3 linked regions of the Schizosaccharomyces pombe genome follow. The protein of the gene in region 1 interacts with the protein of each later gene in a biochemical or structural test. Each region holds a gene or a part of one and is shown in the gene's direction. Other genes may lie near its edges. The genes, in order: cdk9, pct1 and pcm1.

Region 1 (5,115 bases):
CAAGTGTTTCACATTGTGGTAATTGGATTGCGTCTTTATCTCGCTCTGGGCATGTCTTAATTCGAAATTCTGAAACCCTCGAGCTTCACCATGTGTTCCTTCTAAACGCTCAATTCATTCAAAAGGTTGTATACTTGTTATGGAAACCCAATTTAGGAGCAGAAAAATGCCATCAAATTTGTGTTGCCTCAGTTGATAAAGTGTTTGTATTAGATATTGTACAACACGATTATTATGCTAGCATACAGTGCGACCAGGATCCTTTGAGTAGTATCAGCTGGAGCCCGTCTGGAGAACTGCTTCTCTGGTCGTCCTTTGATGTACGTTGTATCTAATAAAATTTGCACAACTTTTTGCTTATATATCTGCGATGCTAATAGCAAATTTTTTAGTCGAAGATTACTGTGTGGTCTTTAAATACCCAGAAAGGTTATTTGCTTCCACATGTAAAAACCAATGTTTCGAAAGGTATTTCTTGTCTGATATATCAATTTACTGACTGTTTAGTTTACGCTTTACATCCATCCATGCAATTCTGTACTATATTATCTCGTTTTAACGGTTCGGATTGCCTTCAATTTTACCAAATCAGCAAAAAGGCATGGATACTTCTTAAAGAGTGTAAGCTTCCTACAATAGATTCGACGGGTATCCATTGGTCGCCAGATGGAAACTGGTTAGCTGTTTTGGAAAACGTATTAGATGCAGTTGTTTATATTTATCATCGCACCGGTCTTCTTTTTCACGAATATCGACCAAATAGGTTAATTGAAGTCGGCTTTTCCGATTTTGAGTGGAGTCCCTTTGGCAAATATCTAACTTTGTGCAGTTACCATGATTCAACCTTACATCTACTTGAAACAAAAACTTTTAGTATAGTTTTTCGACTTCACCATTGTTTGCAATATACCAATACTGACTTGGAAATGCATATATGGGAAGAGAAGGAAACAATCTATGAGCAACAAATGACTTATCAAAAAGTACATAAACTCAGAACCGATTTCCCAGAACCCTCCTTTTGTTCAGCATCAAAAATACGTTTCAACTGTGATGAGACGTATGCTGCTACAATTACTTCTAAATATCCTAATGTTCTTTGGCTATGGAATTTACAGAATAAAAAACTGCACACTGTTCTTATTCAAAAACATCATATAGTGTATTTTGAATGGCATCCAGGTCGTCCCGATTTGGTGGTCATTCAAACAAAAATTAGGAAAGAATCCAAAATTCCGTCTAATGCTACATTCCTATACTTCTGGGCTTTAAGTTGGAATACACCCAGGGTCGTTGGAGTTCCAAAAAAAGGTTTTAATATTCAGAAGGTTCAATGGCTTCAACCATCAGAATTCAGTTCTCGTCCAGTTATAGTAATTTGTGGTGAAGATGCATATACCGTTGCTTACATTGTGGAAGATGAAGATGAATCATTTACCGAAGTTACTCAAACTATAATTTCTCAAGAAGTTTTAGATAATGAGTTAGAAACAACGCAAACGATTTCCATACCATCTTAAGGGATTTACTTTCTATCTTAAAAGTCTTAATTATTGTAACCATTTTTAAATATTCTTTTTATTTTACTAACGACCTAATTAATTCGCTTAATGTCTATAATATTTTAATGCACGTTCATTGTTCCCGCATGTAAAACATGAGCACCCTGAGCACCCCGTCAGCTTAAGGCCTTTGCATACCTCTTATAGTTTGAATGTCTTTTTCAGTCTATTCAACTATCTTTTTCTAAATTTAGTACGTACTATTCCTGAGTTTTAATAACTACTCTTTCCTGATTCATAAATTGTAAACTTTGCGCATTTATTTGAGATTAGGGAGTCCTTTGAAAGATATTTAAAACTAATGCAACTTTTTCCCTTTATAAAAAGCATTGTTTATTCTCTATACTTACAGTATTGTTTTCTCATTTTGAAACATAGCGCATTTTACTTCGCCTCCGTATTTAATGCATATAGTTGATAGTTGGGTCCACTTCCACTATATCCTCATCAGATGCAACATTTCGCGCATCGATCGGGTTTATACTACAATTTGTATAATTAACTTTATTCACTAATCGTTGGGATCTTTTGTATAATATAAGTTAAAAAAATGAAACGCTCAAGCAGCGTTTCTGTCGAAGATGAGAAATCAGCAAGGAGAAAATTAGATGTCGTACCCAAACTTCATTTTGTAGGGTGCAGCCATTTAACGGATTATCATTTAATGGAAAAATTAGGAGAAGGAACATTTGGGTATGTGTCAAATATCTGATTTTGAATTTTATCACTAACTTGGTTCACCAGCGAAGTTTACAAATCGCAGCGGCGTAAGGACGGGAAGGTATATGCGCTGAAAAGAATACTCATGCATACTGAAAAGGAAGGTGTAAGTAGATGTTTGTTTAGATTCTTGTTCATTTTGACAGAATGACTTGGGACGCATCGACTTGATTGCGTTAATTGTTTTAATTAATTCATGAATAAATACTAAAGCATTACATTTTAGTTTCCCATTACAGCCATTCGCGAAATAAAAATTTTAAAATCGATTAAACACGAGAATATTATTCCATTATCTGATATGACTGTTGTTCGTGCAGACAAGAAGCATCGACGTCGTGGTTCTATATATATGGTGACTCCTTATATGGATCATGACCTTTCAGGTTTATTAGAAAATCCAAGTGTAAAATTCACGGAGCCGCAAATTAAATGCTATATGAAGCAATTGTTTGCTGGAACCAAATACTTACATGATCAGCTTATCCTTCATAGAGATCTTAAAGCTGCTAATTTATTGATTGATAATCACGGGATTTTAAAAATTGCCGATTTTGGTCTCGCACGTGTGATAACGGAGGAGTCATATGCAAACAAAAATCCTGGCTTGCCTCCACCTAATCGTAGAGAATACACTGGATGTGTGGTTACACGCTGGTATAGATCACCAGAACTTTTGCTTGGCGAGCGTCGTTACACTACCGCTATTGATATGTGGAGCGTGGGATGCATCATGGCCGAAATGTATAAAGGAAGGCCAATCCTTCAAGGAAGTAGTGATTTGGACCAATTGGATAAAATCTTTCGCCTTTGTGGATCACCAACTCAAGCTACTATGCCAAATTGGGAAAAGCTTCCTGGGTGCGAAGGCGTTCGCTCTTTTCCTTCACACCCTAGAACACTTGAAACTGCATTTTTTACTTTCGGAAAGGAAATGACTTCTCTTTGCGGTGCTATTTTGACCCTTAATCCGGATGAACGTTTATCTGCTTCAATGGCTTTAGAGCATGAATATTTTACAACACCACCATATCCAGCAAACCCTTCTGAACTACAGAGCTACAGTGCTTCTCATGAGTACGACAAAAGAAGGAAAAGAGAACAGAGAGATGCTAATTCACATGCGTTTGAACAAACCGCTAATGGTAAGAGACAGTTCCGGTTCATGACTCGTGGACCTAGCGATCCGTGGTATGGAATTCGTCGGCCAAATTATAACTCACAACCGCAATACCAACGTGGTTCGTACAATCGTGAAGGCGGTAACATGGATAGAAGTCGTAATGTTAATTATCAGCCTAAGCGTCAGCAAAATTTTAAACCTTTAACGTCTGATTTGCCACAGAAAAATTCCGAATTTTCTGAAACTAACGCTATGAATCAAACTTCTAATCATTCTCATGCAGACGGTCAACGCTACTACCGGCCTGAACAAGACCGATCTCAACGATTAAGAAACCCCTCGGATTACGGCCGTCAAGGAAGACAATCTTCCCAGTCTCAACAACCAGCATGGAATGTGTCCTCCAGATACCAGAATAATAGCAAAGTACAAACGACATCTCGAGCAAGCGAAAATGCGGATACCAACAAAACACAACACAATATTAAGTACATTGACTCATATGTTCCTGAATACTCAATTGCTAGACAATCTGCCAACCAAAAGACCAACGAGCAACATCCATCTTCTACTAGCTTGCACCAACAATCCACATCTGATCTGAAGTCACCCTCTTTTCATGAAAATTCCAACGTTGATGACACTCCTAAATGATCCATACGAATGTGCTCTTTTTACTTTTTGGCTTTCTCTTCATATCTTAAATTAACTTAATTTGCTGAGCATCCCATAATATTTTTAATGGCCTTTCCGCGTGATGGCGACTGTTCATTAAAGGCCAAAGTTGGTTTTCTAGCTCAAAATAAAATTTAAAACAAAAAGGAAAAAGCAAAGAAAATTAATTATATTTCTTTTTTCTTTAAAAGCTTGACCTTAGCAAATTGAGCACGGAGATTTTTATTTGTATTATTTATTTACTAAATTTATAATCTTAAAACATGACTTGTAAGTAATGTATTGGAAAGAAAATTACTTTATTTTCAACAAAACTGCTTTTTTCCTTGCTTGTGTTTACATATTTACGGTATTTTCTTCCCTTCCCATACCCATGTTTTGACCTCGGTTAAATACCTCTTGTTTGTATACGGCTTGACCAGCCCTCTCCCACCTACCTACTACAAAACCCGTCATCCAAAAACAGAGTCAAAATAACACAAATACCATTAATAATTACCTAATAAATATAATAATCAGTACTCTAAAAATTATTAAATTGTTCAAATGGTTGAAAATCAAGGGAATGTCGAAGCACATGGTAAACCCAAAAAGGTCATACTTAGCCTTTCATTAAAGGAATCTTCAAAAATTAATGATTCTCAAAATGTTTCCAATGTGTCTTCTAAAGAAAAATGCGAAACTGAAGCATTGCTTCGTGAAGAGAATAAAGAAAACCTGAGTAGTGACAGTATACGACAAATGATATTTGGAGATGAAATGGCGGGCTTTGTGGATACTGGTGAAAAACCACCGTGTTCTTATGCTACATTAATCGGTTTGGCGATCCTACAATCACATAACAAGCAACTGACTTTAAGCGGGATTTATACGTGGATTCGCAACACGTTTCGCTACTACCTCAACCATGATGGTGGTTGGCAAAATAGCATTAGGCACAACCTTTCATTAAACAAAGCCTTTATCAAAGTAGAAAAACCCAAGGGTAAAACTTTAAAAGGTCATTATTGGACAATTGATCCTGACCATATGCAG
Region 2 (11,908 bases), on another chromosome or scaffold:
AATTTGGGTCGCAGCATCTGGCAATCCTTGAGACAAATCGACTCCAATTTCATCCAACACTTTATTGACAAGTTCATCAGCTTCCTCTTCGTCATCTTCTTCTAAAGCATCGTCCATATTTTCATCAATCATTTCTTGTCTCTGTTCCATAATTTCATTTTCACGCTCGAATTGCTGAGTGATACGAGCCATTGCCGGTATATTCATGCTTTTGTTCATCCCTGTCAATAACTTTGTAAAAGTTAGTTCTATATTTTTCGATATTAAGGTGAAAGGAAAGTCATTATGAAATTCTTTTCTTTTAAAACCCAGAAGATCCTCAATTGATTATTTACGGCTTCCATAAATCAGAAAGAAGAAATAAACAATGGGGTTAGTGTAATCTTACCCTGGTAGCACCTCGCATACTCTGCATCATCTGTTCGCTGGTTCTCATCGTCTATAAAAAGATTAGCATTATGGTTAAACGAAAAAATTTAAAAAATCTCATATAGTGAAGATTATCAATCAAATGGACTTACTTGTAATCTCAAAGATATAGCTTGTAGCTGCGTTTTTGCATTCATCATTTTCTTACGGCTATTCCTTAGTCTCATCAAATCCCGAGCTTGAATACGGGCAGCACCAGTATTTCCGGCTTTTGCACTACCTTTAATTTCTTGAATAAGCGCTCGCTCCCTTTGGTCCAATTTCGTTCGTTCACGATCCAATTCCCGTTCAGCTCGACCAAGAGATCTCTGATGAGCCCTCAGCTGTTCTTGAGGGGACTTCCCCCCTCCAAATAGCCAAGAAGTTAAGCCCATGAGCGTTTCGCTGTGGTTGTGCTCATGAATGTTTAGTTATTGATAACACACACGACACAAAATGGCTTAATATAATATCATTATATACGTAGTACGTTTTGTATATTAACTACTATATTGGAAAAACACATAAATCGTAACAAATTTTCATATTTAAAGTCTATATTTTTGATAAGCTAGACTTTTAACTATATATATTTTCAATCAGAAGATTAATGATAAAAATTCCAACTAAAATTTTTTGAATTTGTCTATCTAGGAAAGGTTATTTTACAAACAATTGCTACAATTGATGTGTGCAAATGTGTATTTATTATGCTCTAGCAAGCAGATCTAGTCAAATATCATACCTTGTAAACGTATGTAAAACATCCAGGAAAAGCTTAATACTACAGTTATTAAACTGATTTAGAGGGCTCAAAAAAAGCTAAGTAATTGTGTGTGTAAAACTGGGTTGAATAAATAGCTTATTAGTTAATAGCATACTTTACAATGTATCACACTTTACTAATTTTTGATAGTTTAACAGTTCAATAAACTGGATAGTTGAGAGTTTGAAAATTATATAAAGAGGTATTTAAACCAAGCATCTTGAGTAGCTTCATTTGAACATGCCAAGCGAGTATTTGAGTTTTTGACAAGAAGATCAACATCATTGTCATCTTAGCTAGCAATGTTTGATAAGTTCAATATAGCTTTACTTCCACACTTTTAACACATCGATACACTTGATTTATACCTGAAACAAATTACGAACGTAGCCTAACCTAACTCATCCAGATAGAGGTACGAAATCGACACGAACGGTTATAAAGTTATTGTAAGTTTCTATACGGTTTTCATACTTAACGGTAATCATACGTATTATATCTGATAAAATTTCACATCAAACTATTTTATTCAACAAATCCCATTTTTAATATATCCTTTTTGCATATGTTAAACAACCTGTCGGTATACTAAGTACTAAACGGCAAAAAGGAACTACCGAAAGTGACAGTGTCAGAATCAATTAATATGTTTACAAGAAGAAATGTATAATTAAAAGTAATGCTATTGAACAATTTAGTTGACTTCAGTTTTGGGACAAACTTAGCAACGTGGATGTACACGTTAAGTGAGTACACCTACTAACCATATTAACTAAGAAAAGTACGAATTCATCACGAATGGACCTTAAAGGTTTATTACATGAAGAAAACGAACTGCCTTCTATTGAAAAAAGAAAGATAGATGAAAATGCTGTGGAACACGATAAAGTCGAAAGAAAAAGGACAAAATCCGTAGCTGTACCAAAGATAGAAATGAACTTCTTAAATAAACCGATTGTTCCAGATACGACTAAAGTTATTTCAAACTTTCTTACACATTATTTGATAACTGAACCTGTTGAACATGTGGAGGTTGGTAAATGTTTTTAGTCATACGTTCTACTAACTGATTTTTTCTTATTTTAGATTGAGGCGAAACTTGGTACATTAATTGACTTGGAAACTCAAAATCGATTTGAGTTTCCGGTGATGAATGAAACTATTTTAAACCCGGAATTTAATCTTCGTACTCGGTTTGAAAGTGATATGACCGCTTCCGAGCATAAATATTTGAATGAGTTTCTTAATCAGGCATTTCGTGATTCACAAAAACCTGGACGGCTTCCTTTTGCCTATAAGCATACAAAGCAAGTAGATTTGTTCTATGAAACTGAAGATAACTCACGAGATAAAATACGCGTCTCAAAAAATCAAAGTGACAATCAAGTTTTGGCCTGTGTGAAAAAGCGAAGAGTTGCTGATTTATTTTTATATTGCCCTAATGATGCTTTTGATATACGAATTTCCATCAGCGACGAATTACCTGTTTCAATGCCTTCAGGTAATCAACAACCAAGTTTGACACGACTTAAAGATCGCGTTGGCTATGTGCATCAGGAAATTAAAATTGATTTGACTAAAACTACTCAAAATGACCCAGTTTACGATACCACTGAACGTCATGAGCTAGAAGTTGAGTTTGGTAACATCGCGGATTTGAGAGATCGTGCTCAAAAGGCCAAAGATGGAATGGAAGCTCCTTTGTTTCGGAGGGTACAGTTGTTTATGGACAATGTTCGTATTTTGAGACGAGAGCATTCTTAATTCTTTACACTTTTGCTACTTATTTGACATTCTTAAGTCATTTCTTAATAATTGTTCCTTGCTTTGCATCAGAATGTAAAGGGGTTTTTAATTACTTTAATTTAATCATCATTTCATACTGGGCAATAATCAAGGTAAAAGAAAGTCACGTTAGGTATAAACCCCCATGCACATATTTTAATTTTCGATTTTGTATCTCGGTGATTCTAAACTGAGGCTTAATCTTGGATGATTCTATTTTTTTTTTTACCTATTACGACGGGTAGTTAGAATTTCTACGTACATTTTCTAAATGTACACCTAAATTAAGGATCAGCTTTGTCTGATAACATCATTCGTTATAATTACTGTATCTTTACGAGAGCAGCTTACAACTCCTATATTCCTTTAATTGCAAAGTTTTCAGTTACTTCACCCAATAAAAATATTTATTGAAGAATTTTCATACCGAATATACAAAATAGCATTATAAAATACAAGTGTCCAAACCTTTGATTGCAGGTTATGTTTTAAAAGCGGCCTCAAACACCGGTACTTCCAAAGCCATTAGCACCGCGGACTGTAGCCTCTAAGCTCTCTACAAGTATGACTGGTGGATTGACAATTCTTTCCAAAATAAGTTGGGCTATCCGGTCTCCGACCTTTATAGGAAAATCAACATCACTGTAATTGAAAAGTAAAACACGAACATGGCCACGATAATCTGCATCAATCACACCGGCGCCAGTGTCAATGCTATGTTTTGAAGCTAATCCGCTTCTTGGAGCAACACGACCATAAGTCCCCTCAGGAACAGCAATTGCCAAATCGGTATCCACTAAAACTTTTCCTCTTCTTGGAACTATACATTCAGCAGCCGCGTACAAATCATATCCAGCAGAATTTGCAGAGCCTTTAGTAGGAATGGTTGCTTTTTCAGAAAGTTTTTGAACGAAAAAACTCATGTTTAAACTATAAAACTGTGTAATTTCACAGACAATAGAATTCTTGATTGGGAATGAGTGTTTGCAATAGATACTGGCGTTGCATATAAATTTGAAGTTACGCGACACGTTGCGGTTGACGGCGCGTCGCGTTTGTTTACATTTAGTCAAGATATACACCGTACAACATACCTAATATATAAACGTAGACAGTGTATAAAAACTTTCTAAAGAGGTAAACGTTTATAGGAATTATTTCTTCATATTTTATTTATTGCGATAACTCTTAAACCTCAATTTTATTACTAAACACTCCGGAATATTCGACAATTTTCAAAAACCAACAGACGTTATTACATAAAAACACCCAAATTTCATATAAAACTAATGTTCACAACAAAATTTTACTTTATACAGACTACTGATTTCTGGAAAGCGATTGTAATAGAAGATATTCATTAGTTACATATATAAACTAGTGTGCCCAAATCATTAACAGATATATAACGTAAAACCCTAAAACCATTAAATTGCTAATAGACTCAAAGGTCCAATTGCCAAAAAAGATCATTAAATTCGTAGAAAGGTACAGGTACACACGACGGGAGATCCAAAAAAAATAATTATCATCCTCATTAAATTATAAACAGATCTTAACATTTGAATAGCCGCCCACAGTATAGACATTAATGGTTGATTTTGAGGAAGAAGACTGTGTTTTTGAAAAAATTCCTATTTAATCCTTCCGAAAGAATGAAGAAATCTTTCGTAATACAGAACCGGAAGAAACTTTTCTGGGAGTATATCTTGCATTAGTAGCATATTGAGAATATCTCCGACTTGGAACTGGAGATGAACATAAAGGAGCAGAAGCAGATCTCACATTAGTTATGTTCGGCTGCATATTACTGATTACAGGAAAAGATATGGGACGTCTATTTTGATTGCCTGATCCTTGAACAAAGCCTCCAACCTGGACATCGTCCAAATTGGTTAGCCCATCTATTGATGGTTCAGGAGTTGAAAGTGAATCAGGAGTGTAGTAGCCACTGGCTGTGCTAGACAGAGTGGTGCTAGGAAAGATGCGGACATAGCCATACCGATTGAATGGTACGGATTCTAATTGCTCAAGGGTAGGAGTGGGGAGAGATTGTAAGTCCAGAGAATCAGTTCTAACATTATCAGTTGAATAAGTATACTCTTCTGGTGGACAAACAAACATATAATTATAGTCATCATCCAAAGTCGATGGGTTTGAAACTACTTCATGACAGGCATAGCTGTCATAATCCTTGTCAGAAGACACCCTGATCGGTATTGGAGATTGAGACATTTGATTTAAGGCTGAAAGCGGACTAGAAACTCTTCTAGCAAGTTCATCTTCAAAATTACTACTTTTGCGAGAGTTTGTCGAAACATTGGATTTTACTAACGATGTTGTTGAAATAGAAGCTTTGGTGAAAAGATTATTGTCGTGAATTAAATCGTAAAGACTGAGATATTTATTTTCATCAAAACGTTGTTTTTTCAACATATCATCGCGCAAAATCTCGGATAAAACTTTATACACATATTTTTCGTCGTTATCATCTCGCTGTTGAAGACGACGAACGACTTTTTTAGAGGATGATTTTTTCCAAAGCACACACATGCAATCAACTACTAATGGATCAATTTCGTCAATTGACAGTGAAGGGGTAGGAGGGGTAGTGCTATCCATAGAGCTCAATGATGTACAGCCCATTAGAAATGGATGAGAAAAAACTTCCGGAATTGTTATACGCGTGCTTGGATTTACATCTAGCATTCTGTGTAACAAATCTTGCGCAGCCGAAGAAATTGAAGAAGGAAGATCATATGCGCCATGGCGAATCTTATTATAAATAACATCTGTGTTTTGACCACCAAAGGGGAGCTTATTCGACAACAATGAATACAAGATGACACCACAAGACCAAACATCAGCAGGAGCTCCACGATATGGTTTGTGAGATACAATTTCGGGAGCCAAATAATGTAAAGAGCCGCAATAATTCTCAAGACAAGAGTCATTTGGTTCAACAGTGGCCATGCCAAAATCAGCTATTTTAATTTGTTGCTCATTTACCTTGATGAGAATATTCTCAAGTTTTAAATCCCGATGGCGAAAGCGAAAGCGATGACAATGCGCTACAGCATCAAGAATTTGGGAAAGATAATGCGCAGCCTCTCTTTCGCTCAAAGGTCCATGTTTGCGTATATAGTGAAAAAGCTCACCATCAGGGACGTACTCGAGTGCTAAGTACATATGCTGATGATCGGTCCAAACATCGTATAGTCGAAGAATATTAGGATGGCGCAACAAACGCATCATTAAGATTTCCATTCCTATGGAGGCATATCGAATAGGGATAATTTTGATGGCAGCCAAATCACCAGTTTTAGCATGCTTGGCAAGACGCACACAGCTAGTGGAACCAGTCCCTAAAGTCTTCCCAAGACGCCATACGCCAATAGTATTTTTGTGTCGCTTCACCATTCAAATCTAACCTTTTATTAAGGGAAAAGGCTTTCCAAAAGTAAAATTGCAGACTGAATAATAGCAACTTCAGAAAATCTGAAATACTTATGATGAAAAGTAGAATAAATGTCGAAAAAGTAGCATGAAATTTGGAATAAGTAAAGGAAAAAGTGAATGACACCACGATACAAAATAGGGTGTGATCACAAAATAGATACTGGAAACGAATTAATAAAATAAGAGTGCCTCATAAATAACCTAAAGCACTTTTCTGAGTGTATTGTAGAACAGAAAAGTGAAACGTGGAACGGAAATAGACGGACCTTGAAAAAAAAATGGGAAGTAGCACAAGAACACAAATAACAAATGTAAGTTACAAGACGTTTTGAGTAACAGCAATAAAAAAAGGTAAAGACAAAGAAAAAGAAACGAAGGGGAGCGTAAAATAAAGAAAGTATGTAAAGTGTATAAGATTCGTGATGTATAAATCCAATAAAGGTTAAGTTAATGATATTCGAATAAGGATTGAACTTTCATAAATTAAAAGAGAGAAGAAACAAGAAAGGAGAAAGTAAAAATGGAAATATTGGGGCGGTCAAATAGTTGAAAAAGGTAGAATAAAATAAACTAACGGATTTTAATTCAAACCCTGTATAATCAGATAAAAATATGGAGAACAGTAAGTAAAACAAAGAAAGATGAATGAATAAATAAATAATATGTAGAACAACCCACTATATAGAAGGCCTACAGATGTTTCAAAATATCGATCTACAATATTAATACAAACAGGATCCCAGCAATTCCTAAAATCGAAAACAATGCTGAGTTCTTATGCAGAGTAGTCCAAAAGACGGAATTGGCCAAGATAAGTTTGGCAGAGGACAACATGAATGCTGGAGGAGCGGATATAAGTGTTCAAGAGTAGGGAAGGGTGGGGCACTACTTGGACTTGATCAGGGAACATATGAAGAGTGTATTGAAGGCTTACGATTATTTCGGCGGATCACGATAGGATGACTTAAGGAACGGAAGCAATCCACTACTTGGTTTCTAGTCCTTGAGGGTGGTAATCTCAGGCTCATAGTGCTGTCTTGATAAAAACTTGAATATTAACAGCTGATTTATAGCTGTAGAGCAAATTTTATTTAGTTTTTCAGTTTCGCTTTATGAAGTTTAATTAATATTCATATTGTAGTAAAATCGAACCGTTAAAGTTGTCTTTTCTTCTCTTATTTACATTTTCGTTAAAAGCAACTTTAGCAGTCTTTTCTGCTTCTTTCACATTTGTTTACGTAGTACTCGTTTTGGCAATCTAGGAGCAAGTTATTGCAATAGATGAATATTTTTTCTTGTTTTACTCGTGTAGTTTTAGCAGGGAATTCCAGTTTTTCATCGAAAAGTAACACGACTTGGTAGCACGGTCAAGAACCCGTTCTACTTCGGGGATAACCAGGGACATGATGCATACCATATCTGATAACACATGCCATTACACTTTTTTTGAAAATTTGAGCAAAAAAAATAATGAAAACAGGTACTTGAAATCTGACAAGTGTTAGAGCCGGCTTCATGCCAAACATTGAAACTTGCTTCAATAATAGATGAAATCTCAGTATATAATGAATGTATTGAACGGGTTACTGAAGTTCATTTCATCATTATAAGCGAATATTGGATGTTTGAAATCGTCTTCATCCTATGGTATGAATAACAACGACTGTCGTGAAAAGTTGATGAAAGACTATAGGCCCCGCTTAAGAAATTACGATATTATAAAGAATCTATAATTTTCTACAATTTAATTGAAATTTTTATATTTGGAGGCGAAAACTTATTCTTTTTCAGCTTGCTCAACTTTATGTGACTTTTTTACATGGTATATCAACATGAACATTCTTACTGCAAATATTTCAACTAAATAAATTCATTAAATTTTTATTAGACAATAAAAATATACTATAGCAACTTGAGAGCTGCAATACGTGTACGCCACAAACAATTGAGAAACAAACAGAAATTGTTTACACAGTTTCGCTGTTTTCAAAATATAACCACGGGTAAGTAATACAGTTGGCATACAACATTTGGGTAACCTACCATAATTATCAATTGAGCGCAAGAATGGCTTGGATACTGACTCAACCCCAGTCTACTGAATCGACGATGTTTGGAAAATCGAATGAAACCAGCAAAACCGATCCTTCACCTTTAACTATCGGTAATCCAAGTTTGATTATCGAGCAAAGATGTGGTTGGTGCTTGGACAGATGGATCTACTTGATTGCTTGATATTTTTCGGTGTCAGTTCGTTACGCTAAAATGACTAAGAAAAATGAACACAGCCTCGATAAACAAATATCATCAGTGCGATCCAACAGCGGTATTTGTCTGAGTTTCTGGTTTACATTCCGAGCCACATGAAAGATAGGCGTTACAGGGCTCGGGAATGCAGCCGAAGCCGTTCAAAGTTGTCAATAAAGAACGTTTGGTAGAAGTGTCCAACAGCAACGAAGTGTTGATGACTTGTTGCCAATGATGAATTTCTTCACTATTGAGTTGGACTTTGGAATGTGAGTGGTCGTACCAACAACTACGGGTATATGGCCTTATTGCAGTGTAAGATTATCTCATTGTCATACAAAGTGGGCAACTTCATACGCAAGGCGTGGGTTTCATGAACACACAAAACGAATCGAGATGATCATCGTTGGATACTCGCTTGATGCAGCTGCTAACGGAGATGCACAAAGCAATCGAACTTTACCATGACATATCCGAAACATGCTAAGATCTTGTTGATGCATTCGTTGACGTTTTTTCAAGATGTTTCGTAATTTCTATACCCCCGGGTGGAGTGGAGCTGCACTTACGAAAGGATAAGTTGAAGGCTGATTTTTCACATCCCTTCTTTGCAAAAGTTTCCAAAGATGAAAAGTGGAGATGCTATTACGCTAGCACAATATTCATCATCATCTGATCTGTTGTATAAAACTTTTTCATTTCATAACTTATGAAGTCAATAATAGTTTTTGAAAATGGGATTTCCTAATTTAGTCAATTTTGTGTTCCACGTTGCACGATGGTTAAAAACGGTAATTTACACTACTGCAACATAAGAAGGACTTGTAAGATATAGACATTAAAAAATAACCTCCCAAGGCGAGACTCGAACTCGCAACCTTCTGATGACCATCATAAGAGTCAGACGCTCTAAACCGATTGAGCCACTCGGGACTTGCTTGTATTGTGTTAAATTATGTACAATTATATAATAAAGTCTTTAAACAATGAAAGGCATTGAAGGTGTTCAGCTTGAATGAATTCTTTTTAGTATGTTCATTGATCTCGAAAGAAAAAAGAAATGAAATGAAAAACTCAAGGTTTGTAAGTATAACTTTTTTGGTTTTGAAAACGCTTGAATATGATGTTGAACATTGATAGCAGGGTAACCAGTATATGTAAATATAAATGCATCTTGAAAAACCTGTATAAGAAGTGCAAGTGGGTTAAAATACATTGATTTGAGTATATAAAGAATTTCTTAATGTTTTGGCAAATTCGAAGACTTTTCCTTTCTTAGCTTTTAACAATGACTATTTCTTTCCTCCCAAGTTCTTTGTTGATGTTTCTTTGTTCGCCAAGAGAATTTTCTTTGTCAAAATCTTTGATCTTTTAAAGAAAGTGTGCATATACATAATCACCAACTCAGTTCAAAATACAATTTGAATTTCATACTAAAGTATGCCCAATGATTTTAAAAGTCATTAGTTTTTTTCCAAAGTACGATCTCTTACGAATACCTGTAAGAAAATTAATATTATACATCAGCCTCGATTTAATTATGTTTTGGATGCAGCTTTAGTTTTTAATTATATTCATCAAGTGCAAAATTGCAAATCACTAACATACTTGCAAGCGTTTTTTCTGCCATGAAGAATCGGGATGTATATGTTCTACATCAATTACTTATCTTAGTGTGAAATGCAAATTTATATGCAGTTATTTTGTTCTGAATATTTATTATATGCTACCATCATCAATGTGATCAAGTCATTAAAAAATTTATTTACAGGCTCTAACATTTGTATCATTTCTAAAGTCCAGATCAAGCGACCTCGGAAGAAATTTTTTCTTAATTACTCAATTGCTGTCACTGGATAGGTTTGATATGATACTTTACTTTTGATCTTAGATTTCCAGACTCGCAACAATTTCTAAAAAATTGGGTAGTAAACACACACATGTAGGCTGGAAATATTAAACACTAGCAAGATGCATCCTTCCAACATTTTACATAAAATATTTCAATGTCAAAAGTTAAATATTTTGCAAAGTTACTCTCTCTATTTCAAGCAGAACCTTTCAAGCTGGTATTAAAAGTTTAAAACAAACATTAACAATGTGAAAAACAGTTTCATGTAATTAGCTTTATACTATTCTTTAGTTCTAACATATCTATTTCGCTCCTATCGGAAGTCATAGACTTTTGGAATTTCTTAGCAAAGCACTAAATTGTTGGCTACATGAACCTCACCCAGAACCTCGTTCATACCAAAAACTCCTCCATTTTTTCTCAACATTCCAATAAAATTGGATTATATAATTTCTTCATTGAACATTTTATTTCTTTTTTGTTTGAAACCTATCAATTACTGGTCATTTTGACATATGCGTTTTGACATTTGATTTACTACAATATTTTGTTATACATGTCCTCCGTAAAGAATTGATTATATTCATAAAGGTTTAATTGTTTCTATGAATTATTTATACCAAAAATTTCCTTTATATGCAAGAAACCGCTATCGTTACGTTGAAGAATTAAATTAATATTAACTTTCCTCCCTTCTTCTCATCGTCTTTCCACTTTAAAAATGGATAATATAGGTGCTGCCGATGCAGCGACGTCTTCTGGCATTTCTGGGTTACTAAGTGGAAATTCATTTTTAGGTGCTGGTATTGGTTTAATGGGTTTCGGTGCTGGGCTAGCCATATTACGTCGTGGGCTTATTTCAGGAGCAAGCTTAGTAAAAAGAAGGATGCTAGTGTCTGTCGAAATTCCAAGCAAAGAAAAAAGTTATAATGCCTTTTTGCATTGGATGAGCACGGTGCCTAAACGCTATTCAAATCAGCTGGCTGTTGAAAGCAACAGACAACTCAAAATGCCGCAAAATGCTAGGGAAAAACCTGACAAGCAAGTTGCAAATCGTATATTCAGCCTCGTTCCAGGTCCTGGAAAGCATTACATAAAGTACAAAAAGTGTTGGATTCAAGTAGAACGAGAGCGTAGCAATCGTCTGCAAGATTTAACAACTGGAACACCTTGGGAGACAATTACTCTTACCACTCTTTCAAGAGATCGTGGAATTTTTTCCGAACTTTTATTAGAAGCTCAAAAATTCATGCAAAGTGCTCAAAAAAACAAGACTACTATATACACGGCTTGGGCCACTGAATGGAAGCCTTTCGGGCACCCTAGATCAAAAAGGATGCTTTCTAGTGTTGTACTTGAAAGCAATGTTAAAAAAATGATTACAGACGACG
Region 3 (10,932 bases), on another chromosome or scaffold:
TAGTAAAGCCGAAATTCTGCGCAGAGTCAAGAATACATTTGAAATCGACCTGGATTCTTCCAAAATAGTTTTTGTTTATCTAAAACTTCGTTTCCTTGTGTCCGCCACTACTTGGCATCGGTTTACATTGCTTGGACAATCGCTAGGAAGTATGATTTTAGGTTTCGAAGCTATTTATCGATTTGCACCTGACATTTTCATTGACACCATGGGATATGCTTTCACTTTTTGTGTCGTTAAAAGCTTCCAAAATATTCCTGTCGGCGCGTACGTTCATTATCCCACGATTTCTACCGACATGCTAAAGTCCTTAAAACAAGTATCTCTACTTGCTAAGGTTAAAATGGCTTACTGGAGATGGTTCGCTCAGTTGTATTCAGATGCCGGATCTCATGCGGACTATGTGATGACTAACTCTTCATGGACGAGAAACCACATTGCATCTCTTTGGGGGAAAGATATTCAACTCTCCGTTGTTTTCCCCCCCTGTAACACTTCAGAGCTTGAAAAGATCGACATTAACAGAAAGCGCGAACCCACTCTTCTTTATCTTGCACAATACAGACCTGAAAAGAATCATGAAAATGTACTTCGTAGTTTTGCTCTCTATTTTGAACAGCATCCTGATTCTCCAGCGAAGCTATTACTGGTCGGTAGCGTTCGAGGTGAAGAAGACATGTGTTTTGTGAATCATTTGAAGACCCTTGCGACTGAACTCAACTTACAATCAAAAGTCAAATTTGTTGTAGATGCTCCTTGGCCCAAGGTAGTTGAGTATCTAGGTACTTGCTCTATAGGTGTCAATTACATGTGGAATGAGCATTTTGGGATTGGTGTCGTTGAATACATGGCTGCTGGTTTAATACCTGTTGTCAACAATTCGGGTGGCCCAAAGTTCGATATCGTGATTCCATGGATTGGAAAGCCTACAGGTTTTCATGCTAGCACCATTAGCGAATATGCTGAAGCCTACCATAAAGCTCTTACATTGAGTCCTCAAGAGCAATTAGAGATGAGAATCAATGCTCGTTCAGCTTGCGCTCGTTTTGGCGAACACGTTTTTATGCGCGATTTTGGAAATGTGTTTGCCAAACTCCTTCGTGAAGATTACAGTCGTACCTAATATGTTGTTGTCTATACTGTTTAATTCATGAAAGATGAGGCATTTTTTTTTAAATCCTTTCGTTTCTACTTATTTGTTAGGTGTATCCTTATAAAGTTTATTACTGTTTTTGTTTATTAAACAGTTTACTTTCCCTTTTTTTCGATGAATTTTTAATTCTTCATTACTTCTTCTCACATAATAAATAACAGTTTGGGGCATTAACGTTGTCAATTACAGGCTCTTAATCACCTCTTACGATGTGTATTATTAAATGAGAAGCCCTCATTCATTGTCTCTTTCTTACTGCTTTTAATGCTGTTGTACCAGGTTGGTACTTATTTCTTAATTTAATTGATTCGCTCTTTTGATATTCAAGTAATTCATATCAAATATTCTTGAATAAGGAAATTTGAAAATTATAATTTTCTCATAAAAAATACAGCATAAAATCAGGCTAGGCCGGTACGAAGTTAAGTGCTGACAATATTGTGAAAAGCGAAACTTAAACAAGTACTATAATGCCATTGTAAAACTAATCTCCATACTAACTAGTTTACCGTTAAGTTCGTTGTCGATAAATTTTTACTGAATGGAAATGGTCTTCAGCTAAGAATGCTAACATTATTTTCTGGTAATAAACCTTGACAAACTTGACAACGTAGGTAGGCATTCAAAGAAAATCATAATAATCGAGAACACATTATTATCACAATCAATTAACAATGAGAAATTAATGGTATACTAGTTGTTTAAGGAAAAGCTCACATTCCTATTACCTATTCATTCCAAAGTTCGCGAAAAGGCTATAAAAGGCAATTAAATAGGCTATACCTCCAAAAGAATACGTCTAGCAATAGTTTTTGAATAGGAGAATACGGTAAATGGGTTCTAGGTCTGAAAAATTAATGCACGAAGTTTTTGAACTTCTATACTAATTTTTTATTCATCCCATGAAATTCATTGAATGCTATTTGATATGAGTTTACATAAGTGCGTTGTATACCATTAAGGAAATGCAATACGGTATACGCTAAGTTTGAGAAACTTTTTGTCGTGATAAATAGAATCATTTTAAGTATATATCTTCAGGCAATGATGAGACCTCAGTTCTTTATAAAATAATCAATCTCGATTGCATTTAATTGTTAACCATTCAATTGCAAAAACTATAGCGAAAGCTAGTAATGTCGTTAAGTTTCGTTAAATCAAATCGTATTGTTAAGTAAGTGAAGGAATTTTGTTCCAAAAGCAAAACACCGCTTCTTTTTTAAGAAGAAAATATAGGGGAGATTATAATCAAGAAATTGATTTTTTCCGAGTTGAATTCAACGGAATGTCTCTTAAAGTTCAAAATCCGAATAATGTACGGGTTTACACAGTTTCTGGTGAAGGCGTAACCCAACGCTTACCTAATTGGATTAGTAAAAGGAAATTGAAGAAAGATTATGCTTTGTCTCATAGGATTGAACTTTTACAAGATTTTGAATACCCTGAGGCTAGTAATCGCATCAAATGCACTCGAGACGGCAAATATGCAATGGCAACTGGTGTGTACAAACCTCACATCAAGGTTTTTGACTTTGCAGAAATGTCTTTGAAGTTTGAAAGACACACAGATGCTGAAAATGTTCAGTTTGAGATTCTATCAGATGACTGGACCAAAAGTGTTCATTTACAAACTGATCGAACGGTCGATTTTCACAGTCAGGGCGGAATTCATTATTCTACTCGAATTCCTAAATATGGAAGAGATTTGAAGTACCACTATCCCAATTGTGATTTATACCTTGCGGCTGCTGGCGATGAAGTTTATCGGTTGAATTTAGAACAGGGTCGATTTTTAAATCCTCTCAAAATTGAAAGCGCCCAAATTGACAGTCCGACTGGTGGTGTTAATGTAATAGATATAAATCCTATGCACCAATTGTTGGCTTTTGGGACAGATGCTGGCAGTGTCGAATTTTGGGATCCTCGTGATCGCTCTAGAGTTGGAATACTTGAAATTCCTAGCACTGTACCTTCTACTCCTTATTCCGACAATTCTCGTTCTGTAACAGCTTTAAAATATAGGAACGATGGACTTAATGTTGCGATTGGCCTTTCAGATGGTGCCACCCTGTTATATGATTTACGTTCTTCAAGTCCTTACATGAGCAAAGACCAGGGTTACAGCATGCCCATTAAATCTCTTCACTGGATGGATAGTGCATTAGATGGAACTGCGAGGGTACTTTCTGCTGACTCTAAAATCATTAAGATTTGGGAAAAGGATACAGGGAAGCCTTTTAGCTCTATTGAACCTACGGTTGAGTTGAACGATGTTTGTCCCATTGAGGGTACTGGTTTAATTCTTACAGCTAATGAAGGTTCTCCTATGCACGCATTCTATATTCCATCGTTAAATCCTGCTCCCCGTTGGTGTTCCTTCCTCGATAATATTACAGAAGAAATGGAAGAAAATCCCGCGCCTACTATTTATGATGATTATAAGTTCGTAACTAAGAAAGAACTCCTTAATCTCGGTTTAGATCATCTTGTTGGAACAGGTGTTATTCGTGCTTACATGCATGGTTTCTTTATTGATAATAATCTGTATGAAAAGGCAAGACTGATTGCTAATCCCTTCTCTTATGAGGAACATCGTCAAAAAATTGTCAAAGAACGTCTGGAGAAGCAACGTGCAAGCAAGATTCGTTCTCAGAATCGTCCAAAAGTCAATGCTGGATTGGCATCTCGATTATCTTATCAAGAGAACAAGTTGCGTAAGAAAACTGGCGTTACGGACGGACCTAGCATCCTTGAAGACGAACGTTTCAAAAATGTATTCACAGATAAAGAATTTGAAGTGGATGAAGATACTTTGGAATATAAGCAATTACATCCTTCTAGGTCTGAAGCAAGGGGCCTTACTGCTGCGGAAGAGTCCGAAGAAGAAAAGGAACATACCAAGGGTATTAAGTTTAGTTCTGATGAGGAGTCACTGTCTGATATGGAGGAAGAAAATGAAACCTTCGATGCACTTGTTGACAGAAGAAAGACGGAGCAGCAGGTCAGCAATGAAAAGACACCTCAAGAAACCATTCGTAGTACTCCCTCTGGTATGGAAATGACATTCAAGGTTGAAAAGAAAAAGAAGTCTAAACCTGTTAATCGAGACGAGGATTCAACGTCTGGCAAAAAGAAACAAGTTACTCAAGGTCGACGTTCAGCTAGCAAAAACGTTTTCCGAAACATGTAACCAAAGCACGGTAGAACTGTCAAATTTGTGTTTACCACTACTTGGCGGATATAGAAACATTTGCAGGCGTGCATACATTATCTGTCACTTTTCATAAAAAATTTCTGTGTTGTATACATCTTCATTTAGCTTTATTTTTGGTTTAGCAAGTTGGTATTTGGGTTTCGCATACGATGGATTCGTGTGCTCAAAAAATTAATTTCGGTTTTTAATAGGTAAGCAATAAGCAATTTAATGAAATATCTACTTTATGTATCTATCATTGTTTTATGATTACTTCTTGTTGCAATCTGGCAGTAGTAGATTAGTCGCCCAAAATTTCAAGTTTTGTTTATTTATTTATTTAGAAGCAGGTTCGTTTTTTATATGTAAACTAAATTTGGCTGAATTGAAAACATTGTCAACAAATTATATATATCTTAGCTGTGGTAATGTAAAGAATCTGGTAATCCACTTCGTATTGCAACATCTACTTTTCTCGCCAGTATACCAACCACACTGCAACCTCATGCTATTGAATATAGTCTAATTTCTCTAAGACAGTAAAGCAAGTTTTAAAAGTCATATGTTTTTGATCTTTTTTAAAGAAGTTTCTGTTTTTTGAATTATTTTGAAGAAAATTATTTGTATGTAAGTTTGTGATCGATGGATAGTCATCATATGATGGAAAGATCGTTAACCTTTGAAAGAAACTATTCTCATTTATTTATAATAATATTTATAATAAGAGATATGAGCAGCTCGAACTCCCGAGTGCATGAGGAACAGCCTCCAACAGAAAATCGCAGATATGCGAGACCTACTGCACAAATGAATCGAGTAATTGAACAACAACCAAGGCGTCGCGATTACTTCCAAAACAATGACAACTCTGGTCGCAGAGGTTATAATAGGCATGAAAACAATGGTAATGCGCAGGATGTGGTACGTTCACACTATAACGCGCGTCCTGATTTGGGTTATAAAAAACGACAATTTTCTCCTATTATTCAACTAAAGAGGTTTAACAACTGGATCAAATCTGTTCTCATACAAAAATTCGCACCCCATGCTTCTGATTATCCTATTTTGGTACTAGACATGGGATGTGGAAAAGGTGGTGATTTAATTAAATGGGACAAAGCTGGCATTGATGGATATATTGGGATTGACATAGCTGAAGTTTCCGTAAATCAGGCCAAGAAGAGATACCGTGAAATGCATGCTTCTTTTGATGCACTATTCTACGCTGGCGACTGTTTTTCTAGCTCAATTAACGAATTACTTCCCCCAGACCAAAGAAAATTTGACGTTGTTTCTCTACAGTTTTGCATGCATTATGCATTTGAAAGCGAAGAAAAGGTTAGGGTCTTGTTGGGGAACGTTTCTAAATGCCTTCCTCGTGGTGGAGTAATGATAGGAACGATTCCCAATTCCGATGTAATTGTCAAACATATTAAAATGCTTAAACCAGGAGAAAAAGAATGGGGAAATGACATATACAAAGTCAGATTTCCTGAATCACCTCCACGCTCTTTTCGACCTCCGTATGGAATTCAATATTATTTTTATTTAGAGGATGCTGTTACCGATGTTCCTGAATATGTAGTTCCTTTTGAAGCCTTTCGTGCTGTTGCCGAAGGATACAATCTTGAATTAATATGGGTAAAACCTTTTTTGGACATCTTAAATGAAGAGAAAAACTCTGAAACGTATGGACCCCTAATGGATCGAATGAAAGTCGTTGATAATGAAGGACACCGTGGAATTGGTGGACAGGAAAAAGAAGCAGCAGGATTTTATTTAGCATTTGCCTTTGAGAAGAGGGGAATTTAGTCTTTTCTTTCCTTATCCCACTGATTCACTGTGCAGACCGCATTGTAGAAAGATCTTTCACGCTCGAAAGATCAGTACAGTGGTAGAAAAAAAGATGACTTTAAAAGATGTAGATTAATTTTTGATGGCAATGACTTTTATTTATTTATTCATTTTTATGCCTTTATTCTTTCTTTTTCTGTTTTCATATATTTTATACATAAGTAACATGCTCTCTTTCATTCCAGCTTAAGCGAATAAATAAAGTATGCTCCCAGGCATATTTCATCAAATCAGATTGCCCCAAAAATTGCCTCAAATATTAAGCGATAGCTTAAATCAATGCACCTGTCGGTATTCAACTACCAGCATCCACTGCTACTCTTCTTCCATTTTTTCTTCAGCAACAGTCAAGTTAAAAAACTGGAACGTTTTAATTGATTTGAGAGAAAATTTCTTATGGAGTAATCGATTGATTAAATGATAAATTCACATTGCGCCCTTTTTTAGTCTCGATTGATTAAATGAGTCATCTGCTTTTCGCGTATTACCTTTGCAACGACATTCGCTCATTCCAAAATCTACTGAAGCAAGATGATTCAAAGGTGAAAGAGCCTAGAAAGGGTTTTTCGGAAAAGAGCGGACAAAAACTCCGTATCAACCAAAAAGATCGATACGGACGCACCGTGCTGCACATCGCCGTTTCTGAGAATAAAAATTCCTTTGTTAGATCTCTTTTGCAGCATAAAGGCATTGATGTTTTTGTGCAAGATGAAGAATCTGGATATACGGCGTTGCATCGGGCAATCTACGTTGGCAACTTGGAAGCAGCGTCTTTGCTTTTATCAAAAGATCCCTCCTTCAGATCATTGCGTATTAAAGACAAAGAAGGTCTTTCTCCATTTCAATTTTTATCACGAGTCCTTTCAAGCACTATTCATCCGGTTCTTGACTTACCGATAATAGGAAATGAACTTTATGGCTTTGGTACTAACGTAAACAATACGCTCGGAATAGCAAATGGGAAAGAACCTTCATCGCCAGAAAGAGTGTTTTTACTGAAAAACCAAACAGAGTCTCCCACATCAGGTCAACTCTTTTCCCGAGACAAAATCCTTGATGTGCAGGCTTCCAAATTTCACAGCGTCGTACTAACGGATGAGCCGTCGCAAAATGTTTACGTATGTGGTATTGGTGCTGGAGGGAGAATAGGTTTTAACACGGACGTTCAATATAACTTTATTCCTATTCCTGGTATCATTCATAAAGTTATCCAGATTTCTGTTAGTCATACCCATTCACTTGCTCTTACAAAGTTCGGAAGTATTTATTCGTGGGGAAAGAATGGTTCTGGTGAACTGGGACTTTCTAATGACGAACTGAAAAAGGATGATCCAATTCAAATTACCCCTAGGCGTATCTCTGCATTCAAGGATTATCAGATAATTGGAATGGCGGCTGGAAAAAGTTATAGCGTTGCTTGGACTGACACTGATATTTACAGCTGGGGGTTAAATAATGGCCAATTAGGTATATCTGATCATATTTCAGTTGTTTCTACTCCAAGGAGAGTTGCTGGCTTATTATCGCCTGTCATACATGCCGTTTGTACTACTCGTGCTACGATATGCCTTTTACAAAACAACAGTATAATTGCCTTTTGCAATTATAATCAAGTGAAATTGCCATTCAACGTTGACTTTGGTAGTTCGTTAAAGGTAACTAAGCATCCTCTTTCCCTCACCAGATTTAACGTTAGAAAATTATTAGCTTCAGAAAACAAACTAGCCGTGCTTACAGAACTAGGCGAAGTCTATGAATTTGATATGAAGCTTTTACTTGATCGTGATTCTACCTCTTCCAAGAATTCCACACGAACTTCATTCAAATTTACTCCATTATGGATTTTTGAATCTTCAGACCTTGCAGCTTTAGATATTGCGTGGACCGCTGATAATTCTTTAATACTATGTACTAGAAATGGCACTTGTTGGAAACGGGAGTTAAGGTCAAAAAAGCGAGAAAAGTCATCTAGTAGCCCGTATTCTAGAGGACCATACAAATATAATAGAATTGAAAATTTACAAATGGTTGTTGGAGTCCGTGCGAGCGCTTCTGGATCATTTTTTGCAATTCGAAATGATTATCTTCCACCGCCAATCTACAAGCCTTCGAATATGTTAATTGATCTTTTGCGCTCACTACTTCCCTATGACCACCTTTTACATGTAAGACAACCACGTTTGATTCCTCCCGAAGATGAAGACGGAGTCCCTATTTTTGACGAAGACCGCGCTGCATCCAGCAATGAGATGCAGCTACTTTTTGAAGGATCTATACCGATTCTTACTAGTTATGAAAATTATAAGCAATCATTTTCTGATGTTACTATTTATTGTGGTACTTCTATGTTCCACTCACATAAGTTCATATTGTGTGCTCGATCTTCATTTTTGAGAAAATTATTGCTACAAAAAAAGAAATCGAGTGTCTCCAACATCATTTACATTGAAGAAATCACTCAATCTCATTCAACAATTAGAGTTGAAGATATTCCTCCTTTAGCGGTTGCTATTCTTTTGCATTATTTGTACACGGATACATTGCTTTCTCCATGGCATCTTGATTCACGCTTTTCACCTTTAAAAGAAAACCTTTCAAAACTTGCAAACTTACTGGAGTTACCTCATTTAGCGGAGGTTTTACCGTTTAGTGTTTCCCGCCAACCTTTGCTTTCTTTAACGAATGACATTCTGCAACTATATAATAATTTTTATGTCTTATGCGAAGAAACAATGGATACAGTAATAAAGCTTAAAGATGGAGAGCTCAAGGCACATGGTCTTTTTTTAAGTCTCCGCAGTGAATACTTTAGTTCTTATTTCCAATTTGTTTCTATGGAAAGCAATAGTTTTGACATCCCAATAACCGTCAATTTGTCTCATTTGACTGTTGAGCATATGTCAATTGTTCTTCGTCATGTATACAGTGACTTAAAAGTTGAGCTTTTTGACGATTTGAAAGAATCCGATTTTCATAATTGGTTGGAAACTATGTTCGAAATTTTGTCTATTGCAGACGAGCTTCTTTTTCTTGAACTAAAAAGCATAGCCCAGCAATCCTTACTTCGCTTTTTAAATTTGAAAACTCTACCTACTCTAATGGATCTTTCACTTAGTTATCACGCTGAGGAGCTTTATTCACGATGTATTGATTATGCTTGTCACAATATTGAATTCTTTTTGGAAGCAAATCGTATAAGTGAATGGGATGGTTTCCATTTAAAAAAAGTCGCTCAACGTTTAACTGAATTGCTTTCTGATCAACGAGTACATCTTCCTTCTAGCAAGATTGCTAATAGATTATTGATAAGAGATCCAGTGTTGATGGAAAAAAGAAATTATGAGCTTAAAGTTCTCAGAGAATACTTGTTTTCCCAGGAAAGTTCTCAATTATGGGACGATTCCCCTTATCGGTCTATTTTTGAAGATCGTCGATGCAGCACTTCAGCAGTAATTTTAGAATCTGGAATTGTTCCTTCAAGTAATCAAAGTGATTCATTAAATAAGGAAGATGCTGAGGAGAAGTCTCCTAAACCAAATGTTGTTAACGTTACGAGCATTACAAAGACAGCAGGAGCTTCTGTTGAAATTCAAAACAATATAGAGTCTGCTTCGTCAGGAGGGGATAAAACACAATTAAATGGTCCTGGGGCTGATCAACCTGTTACTGCAACAATTACTTTTGACAAAACGAGTCCATGGAGGAATAGGGAAAATCTTTCTCATAATAACAACACTACTAGAGCTAGTCTTAGAGAATTGCTGGAGCAAGAGAAAGCTGATGCTTCAACTACTACGGTTTTGTCTGATTCTAGATTTATGAAAGCTCCAACTAAAAAATCCCAACGTGAGAAAAAAAAGGAGCTTTCAAAGCAAGTGCCTATTTCCAAAACAAATGTTGGCCACATCGATATCGAGTTGGGTAAATCGAATCACTCAAACCCTTGGTCTGTAGCAACACATCAGAGGGGCAGTTTTTCGTCATCAACTGGAGTGAAAAAGTCATTTAATGGTATTCTTAGAGAGGCAGCTCGAGAGGAAGGTTCATCTCAAGTAATTTATCAAGAATCGAAGAAGCGCATTTCCAATGGTTCTCCAACTAGTTGGAACCTACTTACTAAACCATCTCCCCGATCTGCTTCTTTACCAAAAAATAGCCAACCTTTATCGATTTCGGAGATTATGACTGAGCAGAAAGAAGAAATTGAGAGTCAAAAGAGGAGATCATCTTTTAGAAAAACAATTGAGGAGATACAACAGGAAGAGGAGTTTCAAAAGTGGTGGGAGGAGGAGAGTTTGAGAGTACAGAAAGAACTTGGAATCCTTAAAACTGAAAGAGATACCTCTACGAATAGAAAACAGGGACAAGCTTCTAAACAACCTCAACGAAGGCACAGAAAGGAAAAAGATTCCAAAGTGTCAGAGTCCACTGCGGAGTTTAAATCTCTTCCTATTGATATACCAAGGACTACTCACAAGAAAGGAAAAGCACGTGCAGTCAAATGACCATAACAACGACTATATACAAAAAATTCAGGACATTAATTTATTCAACTTATGAAGAGATACTTTAATAGATATGTATAAGAAAAAATATTTGCTACATGGTGAATTATTTATTAAGCTTTTGTTTCACGATACCAATCACACATTTTACATACGCTAAAAATTCAATATTTGAAAATAATAAAATTGAATAGGAAACTTTGGTCATAAAGAAATTCAAAGCACGT

Evidence for each region.
Region 2: the proteins of cdk9 (region 1) and pct1 form a complex in vitro, tested with the Schizosaccharomyces pombe proteins (one study listed by BioGRID).
Region 3: the proteins of cdk9 (region 1) and pcm1 form a complex in vitro, tested with the Schizosaccharomyces pombe proteins (one study listed by BioGRID).

What each region holds. Positions count from the first base shown.
Region 1 is NC_003423.3:1,468,568-1,473,682, forward strand, and holds cdk9 (P-TEFb-associated cyclin-dependent protein kinase Cdk9), read left to right. Parts: upstream 1-2,000; 5' UTR 2,001-2,112; coding exon 2,113-2,255; exon of another isoform or gene 2,256-2,306; coding exon 2,307-2,388; exon of another isoform or gene 2,389-2,508; coding exon 2,509-4,059; 3' UTR 4,060-4,615; downstream 4,616-5,115. Other genes in the region: wdr8 (WD repeat-containing protein), read left to right, coding at 1-320, 393-468, 508-1,520; DNA-binding forkhead transcription factor, meiotic Mei4, read left to right, coding at 4,627-5,115. UniProt on the Schizosaccharomyces pombe protein: Component of the positive transcription elongation factor b (P-TEFb) which consists of cdk9 and pch1, and which phosphorylates the C-terminal domain (CTD) of RNA polymerase II and spt5.
Region 2 is NC_003424.3:2,675,168-2,687,075, forward strand, and holds pct1 (RNA 5'-triphosphatase), read left to right. Parts: upstream 1-1,918; 5' UTR 1,919-1,972; coding exon 1,973-2,206; exon of another isoform or gene 2,207-2,260; coding exon 2,261-2,938; 3' UTR 2,939-3,459; coding exon of another isoform or gene 3,460-3,882; 3' UTR 3,883-4,124; downstream 4,125-11,908. Other genes in the region: ESCRT III complex subunit Did4, read right to left, coding at 1-231, 389-439, 522-803; dut1 (deoxyuridine 5'-triphosphate nucleotidohydrolase), read right to left, coding at 3,460-3,882; cdr1 (serine/threonine protein kinase (NIM1 family) Cdr1/Nim1), read right to left, coding at 4,598-6,379; bcs1 (iron-sulfur protein assembly ATPase), read left to right, coding at 11,239-11,908. UniProt on the Schizosaccharomyces pombe protein: First step of mRNA capping. Converts the 5'-triphosphate end of a nascent mRNA chain into a diphosphate end.
Region 3 is NC_003421.2:124,856-135,787, forward strand, and holds pcm1 (mRNA 5'-cap (guanine-N7-)-methyltransferase Pcm1), read left to right. Parts: upstream 1-4,837; 5' UTR 4,838-4,973; intron 4,974-5,032; 5' UTR 5,033-5,075; coding exon 5,076-6,158; downstream 6,159-10,932. Other genes in the region: GDP-Man:Man3GlcNAc2-PP-Dol alpha-1,2-mannosyltransferase Alg11, read left to right, coding at 1-1,123; rRNA processing protein Enp2, read left to right, coding at 2,439-4,343; BTB/POZ family ubiquitin-type ligase substrate adaptor Btb1, read left to right, coding at 6,662-10,705.